Ovis aries: one gene and its partners. The protein of the gene in region 6 binds, or shares a complex with, the protein of the main gene of each other region. Links are inferred from orthologs where the notes say so. Each region holds a gene or a part of one and is shown on either strand. Other genes may lie near its edges.

Region 1 (4,227 bases), about 8.8 Mb from region 6:
CCTGTCCCTGGCTCTGGCCGTTTGCCTTCGGTCTCACGCCACAACTTCTGAGCTTCCAGTGACTCCCGGGAGTGAGCACAGGGTCACTGGGCTGTTAGAGCCCCCGGGTGTGACGCGCCACGACCCTCCACCAAGCCCTTCCACACCGAGGCCTCACCACTGCCCGTCCAGGCGGGCTCTAACCACAGGGCAGAGAAGTCAGGACTGAACTATTGGCCAGTAAAAGGGGTGGAACAGGACTTAGGATCTGGGCTGTGCAGCTCTAGAGGTCAAGCTTTAAGTTGCCCTCCATGTCCTGCCTGCTACACCACCCCTCCTGGGACCCCACAAGATGGGCTGTGAGGCTGTGGGGCCTCCAATGGGCCAAGCTGCCCAGAAAGAGGCCGCTGGGGGCGGGGGCTGCCTGTCCTGGGTCTCACAGCGACCTCTGCTTGCAGAGGAGTCTTCGTACTTTCGAGAAAGCCCTGCCCTTCAGCCTCTGGCCTTGACCACAGGCCTTCATCTCGAACCACAGAACTAGCCATTAGCTGGGGCCCGAGGTAAGCGTCTGAGTCCTAGTGCTGCTGGAGGCGGAGCGCTGGGCAGAGACGCTTCTCAGGTGCTCTGGGCTCAGCTGGGCCACATCACAGCCTCAGTCCTTCTCTGAGACGCTTGATAAGTGTCCTACCTGTCTCTTGGGCTTCCCTGTGGCTCAGCTGGTAAAGGATCCGCCTGCAATGCGGGTCACCTGGGTTCAATTCCTTGGTTGGGAAGATGCCCTGGAGAAGGGTAAGGCTACGCATTCCAGGATTCTGGCCTGGAGAATTCCATGGACTGTATAGTCCATGGGGCCGCAAAGAGTTGGACACGACTGAGCGACTTTTTCACCTGCCTGTTGGTGAGTCACCTGCCCTGGGCACCGGTGGAGGAGGTGTGTATACTCCCTCTCAGTCATCCCAGCTTAGCCCCCTACTGACTCTCCTCTGGAACGTTCTGGCAAAAGTCCCCCAGTCCTAAACATGCCTCCCTCAGCTGTGCTGCCTCAGCCTCACACTGGGGTCAGCTGGAGCTATGAGGCTCAGAGGATGGTTTGGTTGGCAGGGGCCGAGGCCTGGGCATCAGGTGATTTTAATTACTCAGCCGCCACTAACCGCTCAGATTCAGCTGAGCCCATTGCACGAGCTGAGAGTCCATCTCTCTGCCACGGGTCCCATCTGGGCAGCATCCTGCCCAGAGGATAGGGCATGGGCTTGGGCTCGGATCCTGGGTCTGTCCCGTTAGGGTGTGGCTCCGTTTCCTCACACATGAGCAGAGGGAACGCCGACCTTGGGAGACGTGATTCAGTACCTGGTACTCAGCATCAGACCCGTGGTAGCTCTTAAGTTTCATCAAGAGGCTCCATATCTGAGAGACCAGCCTTAGCCAAAAAGCCCATCTGAGTCCTACTGCTGAAACTTTTTAGGCCAGACCTTAAAAAAGCTGACTTGGAAGCTAGTGTGGTGGTCAGAAGCGTGAATGGGGGAGACAGACACACCTGAGCTTGAATCCCTGCTCAGCCAGTTATTGGCCTGGGCAGGGTGCTTCCCTGACTCTGTGCCTCAGTTTCTTTGTCTGTAAAACGGGGTCACAGGTTGGCTGCAAGCACTGAATGCGATCAGACAAAGCGTTTGGCTCTGAATTTTCAGACTCTGCGCTCAGGAGGCCCCAGCTGCCAGGAGGGAGGCCCCAGGGCTTGCGTCAGCTCCTCCCGGAAGAGCTGCCCTCACCTCCCCCACCACCCAAGGCCTACCTTGCCCTCGTCCTCCGCGAAGTTGGGGGACGTCATTGCCACCAGCACGTCCGTGGGGCGCGACAGGGGCCAGCGGGGCGCGGCCGGCCCCTCCCTGCTCTCCACCGGGTCTGCGCCGCAGACGCGGACCACAACGCCCAGAGACGCGTCCACGGAGAAGGACTCACACGCCGGCGGGGCGCACCTGGGGGCCGGCGAGCAGACAGAGCTTGGCGCACAGGCCCCACCTTCTTGGCCCGGAGTGCAGCTGGAGGGGGTGCCCCCAGCCTCTCTGCTGCTGAAGCCCCCCAACTCACGGTCAAGGCACTTTTGGGTCCTAACACATCAGCCTTCCCCTCACCACATCCTGCTCCCAGGACCTCCATGCCGGCCCCGCGACAAGCTGCCGCCCAGACCCCCGCCTCCCGAGGATGCTCTGGAAGTTGCTAACCTACATCTTATTCTTGAAGGCCCACCTTCCTGGGAGGGGAGGGCCCCTTGTCTGAGCCATGAGGGATCCCTACGGGGGAAAAGCAAGGCCTGGCAGGTCTGTGCCGGGGCCGGGGGAAGGCAGGGGCCCTGAGAGTCACCTCCCACCACAGCTCCAGCTCACAGGAGCCTGCTTCATCAGTCCGCACGGCCGCCTCGGGGGTCATCCTCACCCCCTTTCATGGGGAAGGGGACCGAGAGAGGGCAACGCACGTGCTTCCAAGGTCCCACAGCCTAGGAGCAGCAGAAGCAGGACCGGGAGGCCCTTAAAGACCCGACCTCGGCTCCTTGAGATGGAGCAGGACAGCGGGGTAGGTACAGAGCGAGCAGTGAGCCCCCGACTCCCGCGTAAGCCAAGGATGCCCCAGGTAAGGATCCTCGCCAGCCTCCCCGCCCAGACCTCTCCCAGCTCCTCACCCACTGACGTCTAAGAAGAGCTCCACGCCCAGCACACACACAGCGTGGGTTGGGCTGTCCAGGGACAGAGGGACGATGTTCCGGAAGGCCATGGCACGGCCCTCTGGGCTGACCACCCCACCCGGCACGGCAACCTCTGACAACCCCGAGGCTGCGCCCACTGCCTGCCCCTCTTATGGGTTCAGGGGCCTCCAGCCCGCCCCCTTGTTAAGGAGGCTGTAGCAGCTGCCAGAGTGTAACTGATTTCCTCCGCAGAGGTTTGCTGGGAGGAGAGGCGCTGCTGAGGTGCAGCTGGGGTCAGAGCCGGGGCAGCACCAATTCATTAAGCAGCTAGTGCCTGCAGCTCTGCAGGGGCTGGGGCTGGCTGCCTGGAGCTCTGGCCTCCAGCTGGAAAGCTGGTGCCTGGGATTGGTCAACCTGGCCTCGGCGCTGGAGGCTTAACTAAGCTGGGAGCTGTCTGGAGCAAGGATCTGCAGGGGGGTGCGTGGGGCGCTGGTCAGGAGAGGGCACGGGGCAGCCCCTCTAGACTTTGAGGCCTCGGTCGTAAGGTGTGGGTTTCCTGGAAAGTGGTAAGTGATGGACCAGTGGTTCCCAGGGCTCTGAAGCTGACTAGGGGATGGCGCCTGTGAAAGCCTCGAACCCCTGGGGGTGGTCCAGGCAGCTGCGTGCCCTCCCCAGGGGATTAGGGGGCTCCTTGAGCACAGCTGTGTCATCAGCGCCCAGCAGGGGGCGGGCAGGGATTGGTGGAAAGAGCGGACGAAGGGCCCCCGCTGAGCAAGGTCGCCAGCAGCTCCGCATCTCCGCCGAGTTCACTGAGCCAAGAAATGGGAACACCTGCTCTAGCCCACGAGGCTCGCCAGCGAAGTTTAAGACTTTAAGTGTGGGTTAATCCAGCACTTTGGCCACCTCATGCGAAGAGCTGACCCATTGGAAAAGACCCTGATGCTGGGAGGGATCAGGGGCAGGAGGAGAAGGGGACGACAGAGGATGAGATGGCTGGATGGCATCACGGACTCGATGGACGTGAGTCTGAGTGAACTCCGGGACTTGGTGATGGACAGGGCGGCCGGGCATGCTCCGATTCACGGGGTCGCAAAGAGTCGGACACAGCTGAGCGACTGAACTGAACTGAACTGATGGTTCTTGAATACATATGACAGGCACATGCGTCCAAGTTCAAAAGGCGGCTTGCAACACAGTTTCCCTCCTTCTGTCTCTCCCGTTAGTTCCCTAATGTGGAGGCAGCCAACAGCATCGGCATCAGGTTCTTCTAAATCTTTCCAAACAAACGTTACAGGTCCCCAAGCCAACGGGAACCTATGTCCTCCCTCCTCTTCACTTCTCTGCTGCTCAGGGCTCCATACCTAGCTGCTTACTTCGCAGCGTAGCTCGGAGGCTCTTCATATCACGTATGTATGAGGTCTGTAAGAAGCACCCCGGCCCCTTTTATGTCTGTGTAGCCTTCCGGGCGAGTCTGCTTCACCATGCGCAGGCATTTGTCCCGACCTTTCGCCCTGACATGATGCTGTGATGATTAAGCTGTGTATAACACCCTGGGGGGACATAAACTGGGT
Region 2 (4,073 bases), on a different chromosome or scaffold from region 6:
CACAGTCGGCCCTGTTTTCAGAGTGGCCACTTCGCTGGCAGTGGTTGCTGAGCTTGGATTCTCAGTGTTCATTTTCTCCTGAAGCAGAAGAATTTCTGGATTGAGGGGTCCTGTCTCTTCTGGAGAAATGGTAAATTCAAGACTTTTGGGTCGCTTCTTTCCTGAAGGTAAATACACTTCCGATATCTTTGTTTCTCTCCTTCCTGGGGATCCAGCAAGTGACCCGCTGGTGAGTCCCTGGAGCCTTCCTGCAGAGCTGGCGTTCCTCCGCAGCCTGACGCTAGGACAGCTCCCTTTCTCCTTCTCCCGCAGCACCTTGCCGAGGAAGGGGCTTCTCTTGGAAGACAGAGTCGTGTTCCTGGCCCCCAGCTTGCTCTGCACCTCCAGGCCCTCAGGGCCTTTCTGATCTCGCTGTTTTCCCAGAGGCTTCTTCTGAGACCCCCTGCCAGCCTCAGGCTGGCTGGAGGATGGGCAGCCAGCCCCATCAGCACTTTGTCGCTGTTTGTCACCTTCCAGGCCATCTAGGGTCTTTAGGCTCTTGGGCTTCATCTCCCCAGAGGAACCCGACGTTGCTGAGCTGTCTGTGTCACCTTCTTGTATCCGACACACTGAAAAGACAATGAGATGGAAAGGCATGGGAATGCCCGATACTCAGAGTCAACATTTGGGGAAAGGAAGAGGAGAGAACCCCCTCCGAAATTAGGGGAGTTCGGGAAGTTCTAGACAATGGCAGTCAATTAGCATTTAATAAGATCATATTCATTATCTGCTGTCTTATTTCTGAAGTAGTACTTTTCAAAACTTTTTTAGGCAGAACTATTCTTACATAGAATAGTTTATTGGAATACATTTGTGTGTGAATTACAGATCTACAAAACTCAGTTATCAGTCAATAAAGATAGGCACAGAAGTTTGAAATCAAGGGTCATGAGGGACAGGATGGGGAACACGTGTACACCCGTGGCAGATTCATGTTGATGTATGGCAAAACCAACACAATATTGTAAAGTAATTAGCCTCCAATTAATATAAATAAATTTATATTTAAAAAACTTTAGAAGCGAATTTTTTGCTGTAACTTTGGTTTCATGAAATGAAGAAAATCCTACCTCATCCAGTTTGGTGTAAACAGTTTAAAAAACAAGTTTGCCTGGAAATTTCAGGGCAATATTTAATTAAAGAGAAATGACAGGGCTGAAATTCAAGGTTCCAGAAAAAGTTCAAGTACAATATGAACTATCACACCGATGGCCTCCAATATTTTAAAATTTGGTTAATGGCACATTTTAATATGAATTAGTTAGTTTTGTAAGTTAATTCATAAATTTTGAATCAAGTATTTGCCAACTTTCTAAACAATCCCTGAAATGTCTTCCTGGGATACAATTTGAAAACCGCTACTAAATAAAATAACCTATAATTAGCACCTTAATTTTGGTTTGAAAAACCCCATAGTAAAATTAAGATTGCTTAAAACACTTTGTTGTTGGCTTTCCAGGAAAACATATTTTACAAAAGCTGCCTCAGGAACTGGTGAAAAACCCTGAAGAGGCTCATAAACAAGTTTTAAAATACAAAAAAATTAATTTTAAAATTATCCTCATTAAATTATACCAGGTTCAGGTTATAGATTAGCTTTATCACTCTTTCAAAGAGCAGAGAAATTTTGTTATGTAAACTCTTCTACCTCATAGGAGGACATGAAAAGCATTCCTGGTATATTCTTAAAATCTAGAAATAGAAGAAAATTTAAGACATGAAAGAATAGTTTTTTTAAACTGGTCCCAGAGTAGCACCCCTGCCCCCACCAAATCTCAAAAAAAAAAAAAATAAAACAAAACTCTTGAAAAGTAGAAATCCAACAGACCACATTCTTTGATCACAGTGTAATAAAATCAGAAAGTGACAACAAAGGGGTAGAAGAAGAAGGAAGGAAAAGAGGAAAGAAAGAAAAGATGAAAAAGAAATGAGGGAAAGAAAAGGAAGGAAGGAGAAAGCCCTTTTGAGAATTTTAGAATACTTTTGTGACATGTGTTAGAGGAGAACTCAAAACTGAAAAGAGTTAACAATATTACCCATCAACCCAGTCGATAGGAGTGGTTAGTTTCTTGCTCAACCAAAGACTCATCTGTAGGTGTTAATGACGAAGTGAAGAACTCTACCAGCAGGCATCCAGCTCCTGCCTCTCCTGATCTGGCCCCATAATCAGAACCTCAACCTCCTGGGTTTATTTTTTTAAAGCCACTGGGAGCCTTAGCTTTGCTCCAGCTGCAAAGACCAGAGAAGGGGACAGAACTTGATTGGCTGAAGAAGTCACAGGAGTTGTCGCAGACCTGGGACTCCTGACCCCCAAGTCAGTATGATGCACTGGTCTGAACACAAGTTCCCTCTTGTACCTTCCACCCGACTCCACGAACAGCCAGCAGTTGCACTGAGAGAGGAGGGCACTTGGGGCCGCTTACCTGGGCTGATCAGCTGGTGAAGCTCCTCTGCCAGGAGGTGCTGGTTGATGGCCCTCAGGACCTGCAGGGTCAGCTGCACAGCATACTCCTCCCCGTAGTGGTTGACCAGCAGAGAGGCCAGCTTCACCGGCTCGGCTGTCTGCAGTTGGCCCCGGGGGATCCGGGTGTGCTCCTTCTCCAGGCTGGTGTTCTGCAGCTTGAACTTGAACTTCTCGAAGTCATAGGGCAAAAGCTCCTCCAGGGAATAGAGTAGATGGTCACTCCGGGTCCTGACCATGGTGTTGACCAGGAGAGACTGGAGGCAGTCGTCCTGCTTCTGAGGGAAGAAACTACTGTCTGTCCTGGTGCCCTGAGAGTGAGAAGATGCAGCTTGTGAAATAACGGAAAAGGCACAGGAAATGCTCTGTGTTTTGGTGGGAACTGAGACTCAGGCTGTTAGTGTGTCATTGCTGGCTTGCGTCCTCTTCCTCAAAGAATCAGAGGCTTTTCCAGGTGGGAGGGCTCAATGCCTTGTCAGACACGTGGTGGTCCTGCACGCCAGCTCTCGCTGACCCAGGCTGGACTTCGGAGTGGTGGGTTAGTCTTTGAGGGAGGGTCTGGGATTGGATTTCAGATTCTTGCTCTTTGGAAGCCTCTCAGATGCTTCCCTCCTCCCTCCCAGGAAGGTGGGAGTGAGAGTGAGGGGGAACAGAGTCCCTGGTCCCATGCTGGAGAGAATCATGATAGGGTCAGTCCCTCTGGTCAGCTTCTCTCCTCCAGACTTGGGGTTTTATTGACCCTCTGTAGCCAATGGCAGGAGGATGAGGAGCAGCAGATACAGCCCTGCAAGCTCTGCTCTTCCCTGCCGGAGGAGACAGGTGAGGTCTGGAGGCACGGCAGGAGAAAAGCCCTGGGATAACTCCTTTGGACGTAGTTACAGTTGTCTGGTTCTTCCAGCAACAGAAAGGCCTAGGAATGCCACGCCTGGGATCACCATCGTGATTCGTTTGTCCCAGCGTTGACTCTGCCATGACTTCCTAGGAGCAGACCCCGGAGGGAAAGTGTCATACATGTACGGTTACTGAACACATGTTCTGGACCAGGATGCTGGAGAAACAAGGGTGAAAAAGGTGTCCTTAGGGCTCACAGCCCAGTGTGGGGCCTCAGCCATGGCTCCGAAGCTAATGGAGGTGGTATGGGCGGAGTGACTTCTTCCTCTTTGAATTGCTCTCTGTCTGCTACAATGATTTTTATCCTCAGTTTTGTTTTTGAAAAATTTCAAGTTCACAAAAAAGTTAAGGGCATAGTACAATGAACACGTATATGCTCTCAACCCTTGTTCATCAGTTGTTTATGTATTATTTTTGGTGATTCTCTCCCCTCATGCACATGTGCACACTTCTGTTTTTTCTATTTTGAAGCATTTAGTAATAAGTTGAAAACATATCAGGTATCATTCCAAATACCCTAACCATCCTAAATACTAAGAACAAGAATATGAGGATAATTACTTATGTATTTATTTATGGCCATGCCTCAAGGCTTGTGGAATGGAATCTTAATTCCCCGACTGGAGATTGATCCTGGGCCACAGCAGAGAAAGCATGAAGTCCCAACCACTGGGCCACCAGG
Region 3 (4,104 bases), on a different chromosome or scaffold from region 6:
CAGCAGAAAAACTGCTGAAGTCAGACCCTAAAGATATGGGTTTCAGTCCAACCTGGTAAGTGTGACACACTGGACAGTATCTTACTCTGTGAGCCTCAAGACTTCTCATTTGTAATACTTTCCCCGCCCCCCCACGATGGAAAAATGAGGCAATAAATGAACTTATATTCAAATATTCAATAGTTTGTGAACAACAGTATTTACAACCCCCATTCATACTATTCATAAGCAAATATAGTTATTTAAATTCCTTAATTAGAGTTAGGGTTTGATTTATCAAAAAGTTAAAATTTCCCAGATTCATATAACCAAGAAGAGAGACTGAAAGCAATCAGCAAGGGCATCTATGCCTTGATGTTAAATCATATATATTCCGAGTTTCCAATCAGAATAAATTGGAATTTAGGACTCATTAGCAGAAATAAAAGTCTAACTTACAGATGCACACTTGGTCAACAAACGCATTAAAACAAATAAAACTACGGTAACTTGTGAATATTATGAATCCATAAACTGCTGATACAAACTTTCATGCAATGATTTACTAGAAGAATAGGTACACTTTTCAATGGCAATTCTTTTCGGCTTACAGATGCCACAAAATGGGGAATTCAGTATCCTATGGGTATTATACTTTTGAAACATATTAACCAGCAGCATAGCTGTGCAGACGGTGGGGTGCAACGCCAACACCCATGAGCCCGGCAACTCATTTCCAGGGGTAAGAGAGAAGCGCACCCAAGTCTACTTCTTGCAAACTGAAATATTGAGGGCAAGCAGCTAAATTGTTTTTCCTTCCTCTCCCTTAACCCAGGTTTTTTGTCAGCAGCGTGAGTTTTTCTGAGTTCCCAAACCCCTTGGTCTGAGGGAGGAGAACTTATCACAGGCCTCCAAATAGGAGGGGCGATGGGAGTGGGGGCGATAAGTGTTCTTTCCGCTCAAGTTACAGCCGGGTGGACTAACTTCATCACAGTTATTTGGAAAACCAATTAACTTTTGGGCAAAGTTCCTATGCTGAAGTTTAGCCTGAAGCAAGTTCTTTTTTAAAAAGGAAGGACAGAAAGAAAAGTCTCCCCTAAACAAATCTTCTGGGACCGATCGGAATCTTAACACTTTCATAATATACAGTTGCACTTCAACGCTGGATCACGTTGACAAAATAATCGAAGGCTGTATATGTGGGACAGCCATGTTCATATCCTCAGTAAGAATTAAAGAGCAATGGCGAGCCTCGAATTAGTCATCGCTTCCCAAACATTAACTTCTAATCACAGCTGAACTAGGCAGGACTCGGCCTGTGAGTCAACCTGCGGAGCGTTATCAAAGACTTGTGTTAAACCCCAGGCGCGGTGCAACCCAGCCCAGAGCCCGCGCGCCGTGCAGATGTGGCCCATTTAAAAGCATTTCAGCGGACTGTAAATAATTGTCCGCGGTGGGGAAGCCAGCACGTGAGCCCACTGCGTTTCGGGGAGAGTGAGCCTGCGCGAGTTGCAGAGCGCAAGGGGGAAGGGCCGGGGTGAGAGCGCCCAACTCCATAAACAACTTCCAGGAAAGTCTGGATCCTGTGCTCGGCGAGCGCCGGGGCCGCGAGGAGAAGTGCTCCCGGGAGGGGGAGGGGGACAAAGAGCCCGGGACCGCCCGGGCCGGTTCGAGCCCCGGCTCTGCTCCACGCTGGCCAACGAGGGCACGACTCCGTGCCTCCCGGGGAGACTAGGGGGCCCGGGAGACCCTGGAGGAGAGGGGGCTCGGGGCGCGACTCCGCCCGCGGAAGCCAGGGCCGCCCCCGCTCGCGGCCCGGCGGCGGGAGCGGAGGTGCGGGGCGCGCGCGTATTGTGCGAGCCCCCCGCGGCCCGGCCGCCTCGCCCGCCCCTGCTTTCCCCCCGACTCCGCCGGGAGCCCGCGGGGGAGGAAAGAAGGGAGCAGGCGAAGCGCGCCCCCGGGGGCTGCAGCCGCCGAGACGGACTCCCGGGGGCGGGGGGAACAAATCTCGGCCTCGGACTCCGGAGGAGCGCGGCGCCCCGGCCGGCCCGCCCCTGCGCGCGCCCATCCCCGCCCCGCCGGCGCCCCCGGAGCCCGCACCCCCCGAGCGCCCCCGCCGGGGGCCCACCCGGCGGGGAAACGGGGAAACGGGGAAACGGGCGGCGCGGTTACCTGTCGGGAGTGGGATTTGGGCTCGGGAGGCTTGAAGAAGGAGTCGGGCAGCTTCCGGAGCCTCATGGGCACGGTCTGCGGCACGTTGGCCGTCTTGGGGTTCATGACGGCGTTGAAGAGCGCCTCCAGGTCGGTCTCCGAGTCCCCCCGGACGTGCACGATCTGGTGGCCGGCGGGGGGGGCCTGCGGAGCCGCCGGGGGCCCCGGGGGCGCGGGCTGCCCAGGCGCGGACGGCGGGCCCTGGCCCTGGGGGCCCTGTGCGGGCGGCGGCCCCTGGCCCTGGGGGGCTGGCTGTGGCGGGGGCGGCCCGGGATCCATGGCTCCTGCCTCACCCGGCGGGCACGGGCTCCGCCCGGACGGCCCGGCTCGACGGGCCGCGGCGGGGGAAGCAGCGGGCGCGGCGCTGGCCTCGCGCTCAGGGCCGGGGGCTGCGCCGCGGCCCCGCAGCCCCCGCCCCGCGCCCGGCTCCGCGGGCCTGCGGCGCGTCGGGAGGGGCCGCCGGAGACCGGGGCCCGCGGCGCCCGCGCTCGCTCCCTCGGCTCGGGCTGCGGCCGCACGGCCCGCGCCGCTCCCCTCCCCCTCGCCCGGTTTCCTCTCCTTGTTCCTTCCTTCCTCCCTTTCTCCTCCCCGGCGGCGGCCGCTCCCGACTGAGACGCAAACTCGCCTCGGACGCCAAAACTAAAGTTGGGAGACGCGCCCGCCCGAGCGGCCGCGGCCCCGCCTCCTCGCGGCGCTTCCTTCCTCTGCGCGCCCGCCCGCGCCAGATGCTCAGGGAAACTTTCCCCGGCGAGGGCGCCGCATTCCTGCGGACTCCGGCCGCCGCCGCCCCGCCCGCCCGCGTGCCCGCCTGCCCGGCCTCCGCGGGGCCTCGCGGAGCCGCGGCCGCGGCTGCGAGCGTGCCTGGCGCCCCGCGACCGGGGAGCCGCCGGCCCGACGACGCGCGCGCGGCGGGTCCAGGTCGGAGCCCGGGCGCCGCCGGGAGCGCGGCCGCCCTGGGCGCGGGGGGTCCGGCCGCCCGCCCGGCCTGGCCGCCTCCCCCTAGCCCTCGGGAGCGGCGGCGCCCCTCGCCCCTCGATGCCGGACAGCTGAGGCAGAAAGGAGTCTGGCGGGGACGGCGGAGTCCACGGACGCCCGCCCCGCGTCAGCCCGACCGCACCGACGGGAGTGCTCCTGTGGGCTCACGGCGAGGGTGGACCTAAAATGGTACCCGTAACACACATTGACTTAATAAGGATCCATTAAAAAAAAAAAAAAAAAAGAACTTGATACTTTTCACTTCTTAAACATGCAAAATCCACTTGAAAGACATAAACCAGTTTTGTGATTTGAAGCTTAAAGACTAAATCTGGGACTCAGTCTAATTTACTAAGTAACCAAAAAATTGCCTTTGTTTAAACTGAAAACATTTTTTTAGTGCTCAGATTTGCCACATAGTCGTGAAAACTTCAACGGGGAAGCCCACGCTTCAAGTTTCAAGTATTGCCCTGTGTGCCTGTCTTATCCTTGACGGGATGGGAGCCTATCTTTCTTTGTTACCCCTGTGCCTGGGACCTTGACTTTCACTTTGTGATAGTTGACCGAATAAGAAGTAAATGGGTGAGGAACTCACACCATGCACCTGGTTCTCTTTGTGGCGGTGTCATACATGCAAGTCCACTTGAAATCACTCAAAAGCCATGAAAATGTGTTAAGGTTTTTTGTTTGTTTGACCACGCTGCTTGCGAACTTGTGCCTCCAGCAGTGGAAACAGGGAGTCCACTGGAGTGCCAGGGAGTTCTCCAAAATTTGTTTCTTATTTCATACAGTCTGATTTTTTAAAAAGCTGCTTTACTGAGATATCCCATGCAAGCAATCCATTATTTTTCGTTAATTCACGGGGTTATGCAACATCACTCTGATTTTAAATCCACTAGTTCATTATAAAGAAAAACTAGCTTCCTGTTTTAATGATTG
Region 4 (3,949 bases), on a different chromosome or scaffold from region 6:
AGAGGAAACCTTACAAAATAAAACTTGCATAGCTCCAAACAGGAATTTTAAAAAAACAAACACAAATCTGCTTAATTTTTGAGGTCTGGATTTTCATGATCAGGTCTGGATTTTCATGATCAGGCTGAAATTCAAATACTAAACTGTTCCCTCCTAGCCTTGCCTGTTTTGGAGTGTTTCAATTGCCTTTCCTTCTTCCAACAGCTGTGACAACTGCTAAAACAGTCAGTAAAATTAAGTCCGCTCTATAATCCTGTAGTCAATGTTACATTTTAATCAGAGGTTGAAAGAGAACCGTGATGAGCACACTCATTTAGAATGATTAGACTGACACATATGTCAAAATGAGCAGATATATTATTTTCATCTATTTATGCTATCAGTTATTACTGCTATTAAATGTGAAACAAGCTTTCAAGTATTATGCTCTTTAATGCACTGGCACATTTCCCAAAATTAAAAAAAAAACAACATAGTTATAGGTTAACATTTTAGGCTCTCCTAATGGTGGTCAATAAATTGAAGGAATCTTTTCAACAGCCTCCACAGCAGAAATTGTCCAATATTCTCCTCTGAAACTGCATAACTCTGGTTTCATTTCTGTGTATACACACACGTGATGGGGTTTAACCCAGCACAATTACTATGAATATTAATAGCATGTATAAATTCTGTGGTTTATTAATTGAGACAGAGAGGCAGATGCGTTACTAAGCATTAGATCTTTCTGTCTGTCCAGTGAACCACGTAACCATCAGAGCTGCATCCAAACAATAAATCTGTATTTTTTAAAGATGACTTTTAATTGAGCCAAAAAGGAAAGCTAGTTTGAATCTTGCGCCAAAGCCAAAAGGACATGTGTCCTGATTTCATTTAAATACATCTGCTTTAAGAGGCTTATCGAAACTAATTATTCAAATTAGCTATAAGAAGTTAAATTCAAGGAAACTATTTTACAAAGAAGGCTAGGGGAAGAAGGCAGATTTTTAAAGTTTGTTTTGTTTATTTATTTATGAGAGAAAGTTCTGAATTGGGTGAGCTTGGATAATGCATTCTTCCTGACATGAAGGTGTATTAAATTCTCCAGTGCTACAGCCTCAGGTGTACTAACCTTCAAACTCCACTTGAGTGGGCAGTCCTACCTTTGTTTATTTCTCATTTTTATTTTCACACAATTTAAGGTTTCTTCCTTGGAGCATTTGCAACTGACGCAAGCACTGCCTTCCAATCTTTCGGTTCTTCCTAAGTCCATCCCTGGGCTAACATCCCTGGTGTGAGTGTGTATGCGTGCAAGCACATCTACAGACAGGCATACACACACACACTCAAACATATGAGGAGCCACTGAGACTGCAAGTCACTTTTCATCTCTTGCTTAATTACAAAGCAAGGCAATATGCAGTCACTAAGGACCGCTAGTGGACATCTACCTATAATGCATGACCTCCTCCTCTCGAGGGTTTTATGTTTTCTTCACAATCTAGGGAGAACTGTTTGCCAAGAGCACTCTTTTCAGAATTATAACAGTTGGTATTACTGTAATGGGAAAGCAAAGCCATATAACTGACTCAACAGAAAGAGGAACCAGTGACAGTTACTGTGATAAACTAGTATTTTATCTTAACAGTGGGTTGAAATTAAGTTTACGACCTACTCATTTTTACCCAAGAATGCCTGATTTACTCCTTTTACCCCCTACTCACTTCCCCCCGACCCTGAGCAATACAAATATGTATATTTCCATGGGCATAAAGATATTCATAAATATGAATGAAACTGCATCTAAGGACAAAAGTACTTTTCTGCATTTTCTGGACATGATACACGAAACAAATCCACAATCTCAGCATCGTCTGTTCAAGGAGAAATTTAAAAAGTCACTACTGTTTCTTCTTTAGTTTAGTTTTTTTTTTTTCTCCCTTTAAATATTTATAGCGTGTGAAAAATCTCATGTTACTTAATGGACTGATTTGTCAGTTAAGTGCTGACTTAATGCTAACCATGCAAATAACATTATTCTAGCCCCGGCTTGCATAGGGCTAGTTTTTAAATTGTTCTCTGAAGGAGAATTAGTAAATGTGCAATTTTGCCTCTAACTCTGAGCGGTAAGAAATGACGGGGAGCTGAAAATATCTGTCAAGCTGCAAATACATAAGAGGCACTCAATAGTATAAATCATTTTGAATATTGTATTTTAAAACATCTTTCCTTGGGAAAATGGGTCCTAGTAAAAGATGCATTTTAACAGTTCACTAAGCATTTGTGCCAAGTGCCTATTCTTAGCACCTGAATAAGAAGTGACTGTCACACAGCTGTTTTACTGACAGTCACTGAGCTTTGCCTCAAAGGTAACATTGTAGTCAGAGAACAATTCTCGACTTCCTGAATTAGGAGATCACCCTCAACACAAAAGGCACAAGACAGACACAAACAAGCACTCGTGCACACGAAATACCCAGGACATTACCTGATTCAGTGCGCCAAGATCCATTCCGTCCACCCCCCAAACCACCCCCCCCCCGCCCCGCCATACACACAAACACGCGCACCCCCACGACGAGTTTTAAAAAGGAAAGAAAAAGGTACCTACTCTTCCTCGTAGTGCAGGGAAAAAGATTCAGGAAGGCAAAGTTCTACCGAATCCATGTGCGACCGGCAACCATTATTTGTGTACCCCCGCTATAAATCAAAGTTTCCTTGACAGAGCACAGTGCAATTAACACAAATGTTCTCCTAGTGACAAGCCTATAGGCACAGCCAGTTGGGACCAGAGCTCTCACACTCTCCTAATCAAGGACTTAAAGCCCCGATTGGAGCTTATTAATATGAAGTAGAGCTTAACATATGCAGTCCCACCGGCCCAGGCGCGCAGCCGATTGGGGGGCGGCTGCCCAATCAGGAGGGAGGCGACGGGAGGCTGCGAGGAGCCGCGGAACCAGGCAGGTACGAAGGGTGCAGAGACGCGACCCGGCTAGAAACTGAGCGCGAGAGAAAAGGGAGCGGGGACCAGAGATCCGGACGCTCCGGGCAGATACTGCGCCAGGCCCGCGCTTGCTTGCTCTTTCTTTTTCTCTCTTCTCTCCTCCCGTGGGAAGCTAGAAAAGAAACCTAACTAATTTAACCCTCCAAGCCCCGGAGGGATCTGTCTTGGGTTTCTCACCCAAGATCTCTTTTTGCCTTGCCCAGAAGAACTCACGCAGACTCTCAGAGTTAATTTGGGAAAGGATTCTGCGGAAGGTAGAGAATGAAGTTTGTCCTGCCGTTGTCTGTGTTTGATTCCACCGGGGAGGGGGCTCCTGCTTATTGAGTGCTGTACTTTCTCATTGATCCGTCATCGTGTTGTCGTCTGTTTCTCTGATCTAGACTGGGCATTTAAAAAAAAAAAAATCCAAGATATGACTTCTAAATTGTTCGAGCATGCGAAGTGGGAATCGTCCTCTGAGGTGGATTGCAGTTTTACATCACTACAGAAGAGGAGAGTGCCTCAATGCAATTTTCGAAAATGCCTATGTAAATTCTATATGTAAATATTTCTTTACCTGCTCCCCCTCTCTCTACCTATAGATATACAATGTATAGCTTTTCAAAACAAAGATAAAACAACTGCGGGACAAATTGGCTCCTCCAGTTTCAGGAGTAGGAGACAGGGCTGCTGGGTAGCTAGTGCATTGAAAACGTCTCAGTGCATTTTGACAAAATAAAGACTGCATTTTTTTTTTTTTCCCTGTAGGGAAAGCAGTGCTAACCAGCGCACTGAAAGTGTTCTTAGTCATACATTTATTTCAATACAAGCTTCCAAACTGGGAAACATATACAAACACATATGATTTTTACCCCAAACATCAGCTTTCAAATAAAATGTAGTTTATGTATTTGTCAATTATACATAACACACCCTGAATGCTTTAAAAAATCAACTCAGAAACATTTCGTAAATCATCACACAGTT
Region 5 (2,605 bases), on a different chromosome or scaffold from region 6:
GAAGGCTGGGCAGGACCCCTGCTCTCAGAGACATCTGGCAGTGCCCTCTCACTGGCCCCCGTTGCCATGGAATTAGCATCTGCAGAGGTGCCCGGGTCCTGGCAGAATGCTTACGGTGACAGGGGAGTGGGCATCGGAGTGTTGGGAGTATTTTGTTCCAACTGAAGTGGGGTGTGTTTGGGGGGGCACGGCACCGAGAGCACCAAGGGTGAACGGGGACTTCACTTGGGTTCCCTGAGGATTCTCCTGTTCCACCTGACCTGCTGAACCCAGAGCTGTGCGGTCAGGGCCCTTGCATTCTGGAACATTCCTGAACACCCAAGTTTGAGGACCGCGGTTGTTCCACTTCCCTGAGAGTCTGCTGCTGCTATGAAGCACCCCAGGCCCAGGGAAAGGAGCAGCTTCCCAGGGAGGGAACATGGCCTGGACACCTGACACCAGGGGTGGTGGGAGATGATCGCTGCCCTGGGGGTGGGAAATGAAATGCCAGACAGCAGAGCAGTGGTTCCAGGTTTAATCAAGGGTGGGGAAGGCGCTGCATGGCTGCTTAGAGGCCCCATAGCAGCCAGCAGCCTGGGCCCCACGCAGAGCGTCTGCTTTTTACAACTGAACAGAGGAACACGGCCCAACCAGCAACAACTCAAGGCCCACCTGACCCCATCCTGGACCTGGGGTGGCACAGGGGCAGCTCAGCTAATTAGGCCTTCTCTTTGGGACAGGTCACCCCCAACCCTGGCCCTGGGAGCCCAGGGAGCCTCTCCACCCTGTGCCCTTCTGAAGTCGATTCCTAAAGGGGAGGGGAGTCTAGCAGGGACAGCCCCAATAGGAGCGGACAGGGAGCACCCGGTGGTGAAGGGGCCCCTCCCAGCCATTCTGGGATCAATAAATACTGTGTGACAGAAGGGAGGGGTCCCCACTGGTTGGCCGGCAGCAGGGAGCGGAGTCTGCGGGCCCAGCCACCCCGTCCCACCTGTCTCCCCCAGGGGGCCAGGCCTGGGCCATCCACACCCCTCACTCCGTGCGAAGGATGATGTGGATGCCCGAATCTGTGAACACGGGCCCGCTCATCTCCCCTGTCCGCAGCGCGAAGGAGGCGTCTTCAAATGGCTTCTGCATCTGACCTGGGGGAGGAAGCAGGAGAGGTGGCGGGTGGGGTCCAGACCTGCAGGTGGGACTGGGCAGACGGGGCTCCCACTGCGCCCCCAGGGCCCTCATTCTGACTCATCCGTCATGCACTTTCCGGCCCTGCCACGGCGCCTGAGCTGGGCGCAGCTGGGGGTGGCAAGGCTATTAGGGAGGCCCCAGGAAGCTGAGGACAGCATGAAGAACGAGGCACAGTGGCTGTCTCCTCTGTGCACTGAGAGAGGAGCTTTACCGAGGAGCTGGTCTCCCTGGCCCACAGCCCCTTGCTGGCTCCCAAACACCCCTCAGCCTATTTTGGGCCCTTCCTTGATGCTCTAGAGACCCCAGGACGAAGGGGGGAGGCGGCGGCGGCCTGGTTCCCTCTGCTCCTCCCTTCCCACAGTCCCAGGTGGAGAGGCCTGAACTTGGCAGGGTTGCTGATCTGACCCCCTCCTCCCCTCACTCCTGGTTTCTCCACCCAGGAGGGTGGGCAGAGGATTCTGGGGGATGTGCTCTGGGACTCTTAGGGGCCCCAGCTTTGCACCTCAACAGGAAGAGAGGGAAATGGCAGCAGGCACCCACCTTGGTGGGTCTGTGATGGGGACAACTGAGCAGAGACACACACAGATGGATGCCCCACCCCGAGAGAAATGCCACCACCGGGGAGAAGACTCTGCAGCCTGAGGAAGGGACTCTGCTGCCACCTGGTGGACCCCAGGGGACAGTGTGACACGGGCCATCCCTCTAGGTGGGGTGCAGGTGCCAGTGGGTCAGAGGGTCTTGCTGGGGTTCAGGGGTGCCCATTCTTTGCGCACCTCTGCTGAAGGCACCCAGGTCTCCCCTGGCCTTGGCGGAGCTGCAGTCGCTGAACTGTGAGGCCAGAGATTCAAAGTCCTCCTCTCCAGACTTAATCTTCTGGATGTAGCCTGCAAGGGGGACACAAAGGGAGGCCTCCTCGTCAGGGCGGGGTGGGCGGAGGGTTCCGGGCAGGGCAGCACTTCACTCAGAAAGGAGCCCGCAACCCCTGCTAATCGTGTGTGCATGAGCGTGCATGCACAACCACAGCCGGAGCCATACACACCCATGACAGGCATGCACCCCATGACCCTGTGGTGACCTCAAGAGCAGCTGGTCTCCTACCCAGTCCTACAACCCCTTCTCTGTAACCCCCCTCCCTACACACACAGGAACACATAATGAACATGGCATGGCCTCTACCTACCCCCACACACTGAGAGGAAGTCTACCTCCAGGCTCTGCTGGGGAGGACAGAAGGCAGGACGGACGTTACAAAGGAGCACTGGGGGACTTCCCTGCGGTCCAGCAGTTAAGACTCGGGGCTTCCAACGTACGGGGCACAGGTTTGACCCCTGGTTGGGAATTAAGATCCCACAGCAGCACAGCCAAGAAAATAAAAATAAAAAGGGACACTGGGACGCCTCAGGCAGTAAAAGGAAAATTTTCTAGAGGCAGGAGGCCATAG
Region 6 (3,155 bases):
AGTTGCACTTCTTCGTCAACGGCCTGTTTTATTTTGTCCCCATCTCCGAACATTGGAAGGCGGTCTTCTCCTCAGACCTGAGCTTTTAATGGCGGCGTCATACCCGCCCCCTGGTGATACTTCCCTCCGCTCAGATCTGATGGGACTGTTCCCCGCTTTCAGGTCTGAGGTGCTCAGTGCCGCTCACTGCGGCGTACCCCTCCGACCTCACCCCGGAGACTGTCCCCTCACACCTGAGCGCTTCAGCCTCCCACCCCACGTTCCTGGCAGAGGAGTCTCCAAGCCGCCTTGGCGCTGCTCACCCGACCCTCCCGGGATAGGACCAGTTTGAGGGGACTAGACCAGACCCTGATGGAGAGGGCTGGATCCCCAGCCTCTCTCCTGGCTCCAGAGTCTTGCCTGCGAGTCACTGAGCCAGCCCCAAGGAGGTCAGGGTCTCTGTAACTCACACACCAATCCCTGTCCCGCCCTTCCGCAATAACTGAAAAAGACAGGCGGAGTGTCACAGGGCAACTTTATTGAGAGGAAACATGGTCACACCCAGCAGACATGCTCTCCCTCTCATCCTGGGTCCTGGTTGCTGCACAACACACACACACACACACAGGCGCACACACACACCTTCATCACCAACCTCTGCCACACAGTTCGGTTTTCAGCTCTAAGGATGGGACACTCCTCAATTCCTAAGATCCATAGGTAGCAGGGGCGGGAGGGGGTTGGAGTGGGGAGGAAGTGGTCAGGGTGGGGGGGGGGGTGTCTGGGACGGGGGGCGGGGGTGGAGACAGAGCAGGGCTGGATGATGACCAGTGGCCAGGAGCCCCTGACAGCTGCAGGAAGTATGGAATCCTCTGGCTCCAGGGGGACTCGGCTCTGCTTGTTCCTCTCTATGGAGCCTTTCTGAGCTGGGCCAGAGCGTTTGGGGAGAAGGGTCGGACCTCCCACCCCATACAAGTCCTCTCTGCCGGGAGTGGGGGACTGGAGCGGGCAGGGTAGGGCAGGGCGTGCAGCGGGTGCGGCTCAGCTCTGGGGCTCCTCGGGAGCCTCGCCCCCTTCTTCCCCAGCGTTGTCGGCCGTCCACAGCGTCAGGTTGTCTCGCAACAGCTGCATGATGAGGGTGCTGTCTTTGTAGGAGTCCTCGCTGAGGGTGTGCAGGTCGGCCATGGCCTCGTCGAAGGTGGTCTTGGCCAGAGAGATGGCCTCCTCGGGGCTGTTGGCGATCTCATAGTGGAAGACGGAAAAGTTCAGGGCCAGGCCCAGGCGGATGGGGTTGGTGGGCGGCATCTCCTTCTTGCTGATGTCCATGGCCTCCTGGTAGGCCGACCGGGCTGAGTCGATGATGCGCTTCTTGTCGTCGCCAGTGGCCACTTCGGCCAGGTAGCGGTAGTAGTCGCCCTTCATTTTCAGGTAGAAGACCCGACTTTCGGCGTCACCGGCCTCCTTGATGAGGTGGGTGTCCAGCAAGCCCAGCACTGTGTCGCACACGCCCCGGAGCTCCGTCTCCACCTTCTCTCGGTACTCTTGCACCTCCGGGCCCTTCTCTTCCGAGCTTTCTTCATTGCTCTTTTGCTCGATACTGGACAGGACCCTCCACGCCGCCCGCTGGCCACCCACCACGTTCTTGTAGGCCACTGAAAGCAGGTTGCGCTCTTCGCAGGATAGCTCCTCGCCCTTTTCCACAGCGCTCTTCATGAAAGCTGCCATGTCTTCATAGCGTTCGGCCTGCTCGGCTAACTTGGCCTTCTGGATCAGACTGGCTCTCTCCATGGCTCTGGGGACAGGCAGACAGGCGGGCGGCGGGCTAACTGGCTGCCTCGGAACCAAGGCCGGGTTCTGTGCCTCTCCTGCTCTCTGCCCGCCTTTTGGCTGGAAGGCCAGGCCCAGAGAAGGGTGGGAGGGGCAGAGGGCGGGGCTAGGGCCCCGGACCTGCCTCCCTCTCCTCTTCGCCCCCACACCCTTTCCGCTCTTCCTTAAAGGTAAAAGGGCTTGGATGGCGGGTAGGGAGGCGGGGGCCGGGGGTGAGTCATCCGGACTGTCAGCGGGAGAGATTTGGGCGTTGGCCTCACCTGCACCGACACCTTTCCAGGCCCCAGGCTGCCCGCTCTGGTTCAGGGCTTCTATTACATGCCTACCGTAGGTAGCTGTCCCAGTTGCTGAAATCAGATCCTCCTTCACCGTGTTCTTACACGGGTTGAGGATGGCTTCAGCTACCTGGCCGCTATGGGCCTAGGCAGAGCCCATAAAGCCAGGTGCAGGAGGATGCGGTTCCCAGTCCTGCCAGGTGTGTTTCCCATATTGGTTCAGGAGGGATAACTCTTTGTTTAGGTAGGGCGGTAGCTAGCTTCCCAAGCGCCTTCATACCCATGATCTAACTTAATCTAACCTGCTCTGTCTGTGTGAAATGGGCAAGTCTGTGACACTACTCCCACTGTAGAGGCGGGACCGCTTTAAGGCTCAGAGAAAGATGAGAGTTGCTCACAGTCACACAGCTACTAAATTTGGCTTTGCTCCCATCAAGTCTTTTGACTTGTGAGCTCCAGACTATTTAAAAGTGACATGCAGGCTTCTTCCAGAGTCTACCTGAAATGGTTCTACCCACCACCCCTCACTCCTCCTCAGGATCCTGTCCCCTCTGAGCTCCCAGAATGCAAAAGTGGCAGCTTTCAGAGTGCCACTTAATGAGGTGTTTAACGAGCGGCCTCTGACGCTCTGGCCTAGCCTTTGTAATTAGTCACCCAGTAGGTTTTTTGGATACCTTCCCCATCACAGCACAATTTTCCCTTTCAAGTTGGTGGCCTGTTGCCACTTGTCTGAGGACTTGCCCTCTGGCTGTCCACACCAGGTCACCTGCCCCCCCTGTCTGCCATCATGTGTCAGTGGGGCGCACAGAGGGTGGGGACCCAGCTCACTGGCTGTTCCACTTTCCTGCCTAACTCAGCCCCGCCCTCTGTCAGAGGCAGGGATGCCCGCCACCTGGGTACCCTGCCCAGCTGGGTACCAGGAGGGGGGGAAACGCTAGCAACTGGGGAGAAAAGACAGGACCAAGGCGATGGAGGCGGCTGTGATGCATGTCGTTTCGTTTTATGGGGCAGCAGTCCCAGCTGAGCGCTGCCTTCCTCTTCCCCCCAGCTGAATGAGCCTGCCTCTCAGAAGTT
Region 7 (4,225 bases), on a different chromosome or scaffold from region 6:
TAAAAAGAGCAAAACAAAACTTGACAAGTATTTCTTCTGCTCCCTGAGACACAAGGGCCATTGTCTTCCTTTGGCCCCCACTGATCTTGGCAGGACAGCCTGGACCTAGAGCCCAGATGGAGCGAGGTGGGGTGGGATGGGAGGGGGCAGTGATTGACACGCGGGACAAGCAGCCTAAAGCAACACCTGGGAGTGGGGCAGGGCTTCGCCTCAAGCCTTTGGTACTGTCCCCTGTTAGGTTTTCACCTCTCAACGTCTCAGCACTTGCATTCTAAATAGCAAAGCAATGACAAGCAAACAATCGAATTTAGTGTAAGTAAGTAATAAAGTGACAAGGCTCTCCCTAAGTGCTCTCCTCTGACCCCGCCTTCCCCGTCGTCCCGGACTGACTCAGTGGACAGTCTGAGGTTCCTGCCCAGGGGAACAGGTTCCCACGGAGGGCACGAGGGTTGAGGCTGCCTTCGGCTCTGAGGATGCGTGTGCAGGAGCAATCGTCTTCGGCCGGGGCCGAGCCCCCGTGAACCCGGCTCGGGGCGGCTCGTCTGGCCAACGGCGCCCCCCACCGCCAACCCCCCCACTAGTCTACACCGACCGCCGAGGCTCAGCTCGCTGGTGCGGAAAGGTGGGTTCCCGGCGCTGCGGCGGCGGCTGGGTCCTCCCCGCCGACTCGGCAGTCAGAGCCCGGGCCCCGCGCGGGGGTGGGGACAAGCGTGTGTGCGGCCCGCGCCCGGGGCCGGAGAACTCGACACATCGCAGGGAAAGGAAAAAAAAAAAACAAAAAACAACCAACCAAACCAAATAAAAACAAAACCCACCGACTTGCCCACGTTTCTCTGCAGAGAAATCGTGGGCGGAGTCGAGAGGGGGCGAGTGAGCAGAACTCCGACGAGGCCGCCTCCGCCCGCCCACGCACCCACCCACCCGGCGGCCCCCTGAGCGCTGATTGTCCCCGGCCCCCGCCCGGCCCAGCTTCGGGCTCCCGAGCGCAGGTCGAGGCGAAGCGGGCGGCTCGTTCCACTCGGGCTTCCCGAGTACTCGGCTGGGCTCCTCAGTAGTAAACAAAGTGTCGCCGCCGCCTCCACGTTGGTTTGCCTCCTAGCAATCAAAACACTGAGAGGGCGAAAGACTCACAGAAACACTCGAGAATTACCAGAAAATAATAACAGAGAGCCAAAAAAAAAAAAAAACCCAAAAAACAGAGAGCGAGCGAGCGAGGGAGAGACTGTGCATGTCAAATAGAAAAACACCCTACTACCCCCCACCAACCAACCCACTGCCGCCTCCCCGTGGAAAACCGAGCCCCGCCCAGGCCGGCGCCCATTGGCGGCCCGGGCGCCGCCGCCGCACTTTCATTGGTCGCAGGGGCCGTCCGTCAGGGGCGGGCCGGCGCGCGCGCCGCCGCCGCCGCCGGCGGGGGGCGGCGGCAGATCCCGTAAGTCGGGGCGGCCGCGTAGTCGCTGCTGCCGCCGCCGCCGCCGCAGCATTCAACAGGCAGCAGCGCCGCGGTCGCGCCCGCCCGGGGAGAGCAAGCGGCCCGCGGCGTCCGTCCGTCCGTCCGTCGTTCGGCGCGGAGAGCGACGCCAGCGCTGTCGGGGCCCCGACGACTCTGGCCTGCCGTCCCGTCAGTGCAGCGGACCCGGAGGCGCCTAGATGCGGACGGAGCCGTGAAGTTAAGTTCTGGGCTCGCGCTTCCACTCCGCCGCCGCCGCGCCTCCCTCCGGGTTTCCGTCCGCTCGCTGCACCGACCTCACCCCTTCCCGCAGATCTCGGACAGGCTCTCGGCGCCCTCTCTCCCCTCGGCGCCGCCCCCCCCTGCCCGGTGCTGCGCTTTTCTCACTTCTGGGCAAGTCCCGCGGCTGGGGGAAGGGTGGGGGGGTCACCATGGCCGAAGCGCCCCAGGTGGTGGAGATCGACCCGGACTTCGAGCCGCTGCCCCGGCCGCGCTCGTGCACCTGGCCGCTGCCCCGGCCGGAGTTTAGCCAGTCCAACTCGGCCACCTCCAGCCCGGCGCCGTCGGGCGGCGCAGCGGCGAACCCCGACGGCGCCGCGGGCCTGCCCTCGGCCTCGGCGGCCGCTGTCAATGCCGACTTCATGAGCAGCCTGAGCCTGCTGGAGGAGAGCGGGGACTTCCAACAGGCGCCCGGCTCCGTGGCGGCAGCCGCGGCGGCGGCGGCGGCGGTGGCGGCGGCTGCTGCGGCGGCCGCAGCTGCTGCCACCGGGGGGCTGTGTGGCGACTTCCAGGGCCCGGAGGCGGGCTGCCTGCACTCGGCGCCGCCGCAGCCCCCGCCGCCCGGCCCGCTGTCGCAGCACCCGCCCGTGCCTCCCGCCGCGGCCGCCGCCGCCGGCGGGCCGCTCGCGGGGCAGCCGCGCAAGAGCAGCTCGTCCCGCCGCAACGCGTGGGGCAACCTGTCCTACGCCGACCTCATCACCAAGGCCATCGAGAGCTCGGCCGAAAAGCGGCTCACGCTGTCGCAGATCTACGAGTGGATGGTCAAGAGCGTGCCCTACTTCAAGGATAAGGGCGACAGCAACAGCTCGGCGGGCTGGAAGGTGAGCGGCCTCCGGGCGCACGGCCGGAGCGGGAGGGGTGGGTGGGTGTCCGGGGGAGCCGGCCTCCGTCTGAGGTCGCTGCGGGGCAGAGGACGGGGGACGGGGGCCCGCCGGTACAAGTTTTCTTGGCCTGAAAGTGCAAGGCACGCGGGTAGCGCGTGCAGGGTGAGGGCGAGAGTGGCAGAGGTGGGTCGTGGGCTTGCCCGGGACCCGTCGAGGGGGGCGGGGGGCAGAAATGAGTGTGTGTGCGCGCGCTCTAGTGAGAGTTGGAGCCGGACAGGGAAGGGGCTCGCTGGGACCAGAGCGGGTGAGAAAAAGGACGCCAAGAAGTGGACCTCCGAGCGGCCAGAAAAGTTCGCCCGTGAAAGAGGGGTGGGGCGGGGGGTTCACTGGGAACGGCTCCCCCTCGGCTCGCGCGGACTCCAGCCGCTGCTCATATTGCCCCCCTAGGACATCAAGGGTGAGGGCGGCTCTGCGCCGCCCACGCGGCGCTCGTTCCCCACCCCCAAGCTCAGGGACGCCCCGCGGAGCCGTTTCCGCCGCGCGGGGCGGAGGAGGGCGCGGCGATGGGGGCCTCGGAGCCCCGCCGCCCTAGAACGGAGCTGCAGGTGGAGGGTACAGGCAGGGCGCCAGCCAGGAGGTCCGTGGGGCCGAACGCGCCGTTTTGGGAGGCCAGCGTGCATTTTGTTTTGTTTCGATTGCGTTTCGAAGTAGCCTCGAGTGCCGGGGGCCGGGCGCACCCAGCCAGAGGTAGCGCCTCCGACACGTGCGAAGGGGCGGCCACCGCCGGCGAAGCGCCGGCGCCGGGCCGCGCGGGGCGAGCTAAAGTTCAAGTATGACCCTCGGCGGGGGCGGGAGCTGGCGACGGCGAGGGAGGGGCCGCGGGCGCAGGAAGCTAGCGCCTTTAAAGGGCCAGCGCGTTCTGGCCGCGCGCGCCGCCGGGCCCGGGCCGCGGGGCGGCGAGGCCAGCGCTTCTCCGCGCCAGGAAGTGCCCCGCAAACTTGGCCTCGCCCTAGGTTCAAGGCCTTTAATTAGGCGCAGAGAGGCTCCCCTGGATGCCCGGCGCTGGGAACATGTGTCCTCTGTTGCTTTTCCGTCTTGGCACGGAGGTGCAGATCCGAGAGGCAAGGCAGGGGGCTTTGAGACCAGTGTTTTGGAAGAGTTGCAGTGGAGGTTCGAATCTAGGGAACCGGAGGAACCTCCTGCATCGCCGGAGACCCTGTAGATGAAGTGCCTCTGGCCCTTTTTGCCTTTCTGGAGAGAGAGAGACTGATACCCACCAGGAGAGACCCTGGAGGGGGCAGGTTCATCCCTACCGAGAGGTGGAGAAGGCCCTGGGGTGCTCAGGGGAGGCCGACCGGCCTTCCGTCCGCCCTGCGGCTTCCAGGATCTGGCAGTTTCTCAGTGTCACAGGTGAAAGGATGGACGTGAAGGTTCTGTAGTTGATGTAGACTCCTTCCTCACTCCTCATCTGGACTGTACTGCGTAGTATTTTTCTTTGCTGCGCACTTGTTACAGCAAGGTGGTTTTACATACAGTGTCATCCCAGTGGTTAATGTGTGTCGGAAAGGTTAAGTTAATCACATCGTATTGAAACTCGTGGAGAAGGAGCCAGGATCTTATTTCTTCCAAAGTGTGTTTTGGAGTAAAAGCCTCACAGATAATCTCATTCATT

What was found.
Region 1: the proteins of SFN (region 6) and PADI6 are in contact, whole or in part, in a crystal structure (PDB 4DAT), measured with the Homo sapiens proteins. The link is inferred for Ovis aries from reciprocal best matches to the Homo sapiens genes SFN and PADI6. Residues at the interface, in NP_006133.1 of Homo sapiens: Lys49, Arg56, Arg60, Lys122, Arg129, Tyr130, Gly171, Leu174, Asn175, Val178, Tyr181, Glu182, Leu222, Asp225, Asn226, Leu229, Trp230; in NP_997304.3 of Homo sapiens: Phe443, Tyr444, Pro445, Ser446, Ala447, Glu448.
Region 2: the proteins of SFN (region 6) and MEFV are in contact, whole or in part, in a crystal structure (PDB 8C28), measured with the Homo sapiens proteins. The link is inferred for Ovis aries from reciprocal best matches to the Homo sapiens genes SFN and MEFV. Residues at the interface, in NP_006133.1 of Homo sapiens: Glu14, Cys38, Asn42, Leu43, Ser45, Val46, Lys49, Arg56, Arg60, Glu115, Phe119, Lys122, Arg129, Tyr130, Pro167, Ile168, Gly171, Leu174, Asn175, Val178, Tyr181, Glu182, Asp215, Ile219, Leu222, Asn226, Leu229, Trp230; in NP_000234.1 of Homo sapiens: Arg205, Asn206, Ala207, Ser208, Ser209, Ala210, Gly211, Arg212, Leu213, Gln214, Gly215.
Region 3: the proteins of SFN (region 6) and YAP1 are in contact, whole or in part, in a crystal structure (PDB 6G6X), measured with the Homo sapiens proteins. The link is inferred for Ovis aries from reciprocal best matches to the Homo sapiens genes SFN and YAP1. Residues at the interface, in NP_006133.1 of Homo sapiens: Lys11, Glu14, Cys38, Glu39, Asn42, Leu43, Val46, Lys49, Arg56, Lys122, Arg129, Tyr130, Gly171, Leu174, Asn175, Val178, Glu182, Leu218, Leu222, Asp225, Asn226, Leu229, Trp230; in NP_001123617.1 of Homo sapiens: Ala125, His126, Ser127, Ser128, Ala130, Ser131, Leu132, Gln133.
Region 4: the proteins of SFN (region 6) and ESRRG are in contact, whole or in part, in a crystal structure (PDB 8BJG), measured with the Homo sapiens proteins. The link is inferred for Ovis aries from reciprocal best matches to the Homo sapiens genes SFN and ESRRG. Residues at the interface, in NP_006133.1 of Homo sapiens: Asn42, Ser45, Val46, Lys49, Arg56, Arg60, Arg129, Tyr130, Glu133, Gly171, Leu174, Asn175, Val178, Glu182, Leu222, Asp225, Asn226, Leu229, Trp230; in NP_001429.2 of Homo sapiens: Arg175, Arg176, Arg177, Lys178, Ser179, Cys180, Gln181, Ala182.
Region 5: the proteins of SFN (region 6) and PIN1 are in contact, whole or in part, in a crystal structure (PDB 7AOG), measured with the Homo sapiens proteins. The link is inferred for Ovis aries from reciprocal best matches to the Homo sapiens genes SFN and PIN1. Residues at the interface, in NP_006133.1 of Homo sapiens: Tyr19, Lys49, Asn50, Arg56, Arg60, Lys122, Asp126, Arg129, Tyr130, Pro167, Gly171, Leu174, Asn175, Val178, Glu182, Ile219, Leu222, Asn226, Leu229, Trp230; in NP_006212.1 of Homo sapiens: Arg68, Arg69, Pro70, Ser71, Ser72, Trp73, Arg74, Glu76.
Region 7: the proteins of SFN (region 6) and FOXO1 are in contact, whole or in part, in a crystal structure (PDB 8A62), measured with the Homo sapiens proteins. The link is inferred for Ovis aries from reciprocal best matches to the Homo sapiens genes SFN and FOXO1. Residues at the interface, in NP_006133.1 of Homo sapiens: Tyr19, Ser45, Lys49, Asn50, Arg56, Arg60, Lys122, Asp126, Arg129, Tyr130, Glu133, Gly171, Leu174, Asn175, Val178, Tyr181, Glu182, Leu218, Ile219, Leu222, Asp225, Asn226, Leu229, Trp230; in NP_002006.2 of Homo sapiens: Pro20, Arg21, Ser22, Cys23, Thr24, Trp25, Pro26, Leu27, Pro28, Arg29.

Annotation. Positions count from the first base shown.
Region 1 is NC_056055.1:248,914,560-248,918,786, forward strand, and holds the start of PADI6 (protein-arginine deiminase type-6), read right to left. Parts: upstream 2,801-4,227; 5' UTR 2,746-2,800; coding exon 2,654-2,745; intron 1,953-2,653; coding exon 1,769-1,952; intron 1-1,768. UniProt on the Homo sapiens protein: Structural constituent of cytoplasmic lattices, which plays a key role in early embryonic development. Cytoplasmic lattices consist in fibrous structures found in the cytoplasm of oocytes and preimplantation embryos.
Region 2 is NC_056077.1:3,239,691-3,243,763, forward strand, and holds the start of MEFV (pyrin), read right to left. Parts: upstream 2,801-4,073; 5' UTR 2,740-2,800; coding exon 2,463-2,739; intron 609-2,462; coding exon 1-608. UniProt on the Homo sapiens protein: Involved in the regulation of innate immunity and the inflammatory response in response to IFNG/IFN-gamma.
Region 3 is NC_056068.1:6,333,361-6,337,464, forward strand, and holds the start of YAP1 (transcriptional coactivator YAP1), read right to left. Parts: upstream 2,801-4,104; 5' UTR 2,470-2,800; coding exon 2,152-2,469; intron 1-2,151. UniProt on the Homo sapiens protein: Transcriptional regulator with dual roles as a coactivator and corepressor. Critical downstream regulatory target in the Hippo signaling pathway, crucial for organ size control and tumor suppression by restricting proliferation and promoting apoptosis.
Region 4 is NC_056065.1:19,381,047-19,384,995, forward strand, and holds the start of ESRRG (estrogen-related receptor gamma), read right to left. Parts: upstream 2,801-3,949; 5' UTR 2,647-2,800; coding exon 2,591-2,646; intron 2,506-2,590; exon of another isoform or gene 1-2,505. UniProt on the Homo sapiens protein: Orphan receptor that acts as a transcription activator in the absence of bound ligand. Binds specifically to an estrogen response element and activates reporter genes controlled by estrogen response elements.
Region 5 is NC_056058.1:12,295,884-12,298,488, reverse strand, and holds the end of PIN1 (peptidyl-prolyl cis-trans isomerase NIMA-interacting 1), read right to left. Parts: intron 2,049-2,605; coding exon 1,938-2,048; intron 1,122-1,937; coding exon 1,012-1,121; 3' UTR 501-1,011; downstream 1-500. UniProt on the Homo sapiens protein: Peptidyl-prolyl cis/trans isomerase (PPIase) that binds to and isomerizes specific phosphorylated Ser/Thr-Pro (pSer/Thr-Pro) motifs.
Region 6 is NC_056055.1:240,067,325-240,070,479, forward strand, and holds SFN (14-3-3 protein sigma), read right to left. Parts: upstream 1,826-3,155; 5' UTR 1,768-1,825; coding exon 1,021-1,767; 3' UTR 501-1,020; downstream 1-500. UniProt on the Homo sapiens protein: Adapter protein implicated in the regulation of a large spectrum of both general and specialized signaling pathways. Binds to a large number of partners, usually by recognition of a phosphoserine or phosphothreonine motif.
Region 7 is NC_056063.1:22,148,914-22,153,138, forward strand, and holds the start of FOXO1 (forkhead box protein O1), read left to right. Parts: upstream 1-1,425; 5' UTR 1,426-1,881; coding exon 1,882-2,550; intron 2,551-4,225. UniProt on the Homo sapiens protein: Transcription factor that is the main target of insulin signaling and regulates metabolic homeostasis in response to oxidative stress.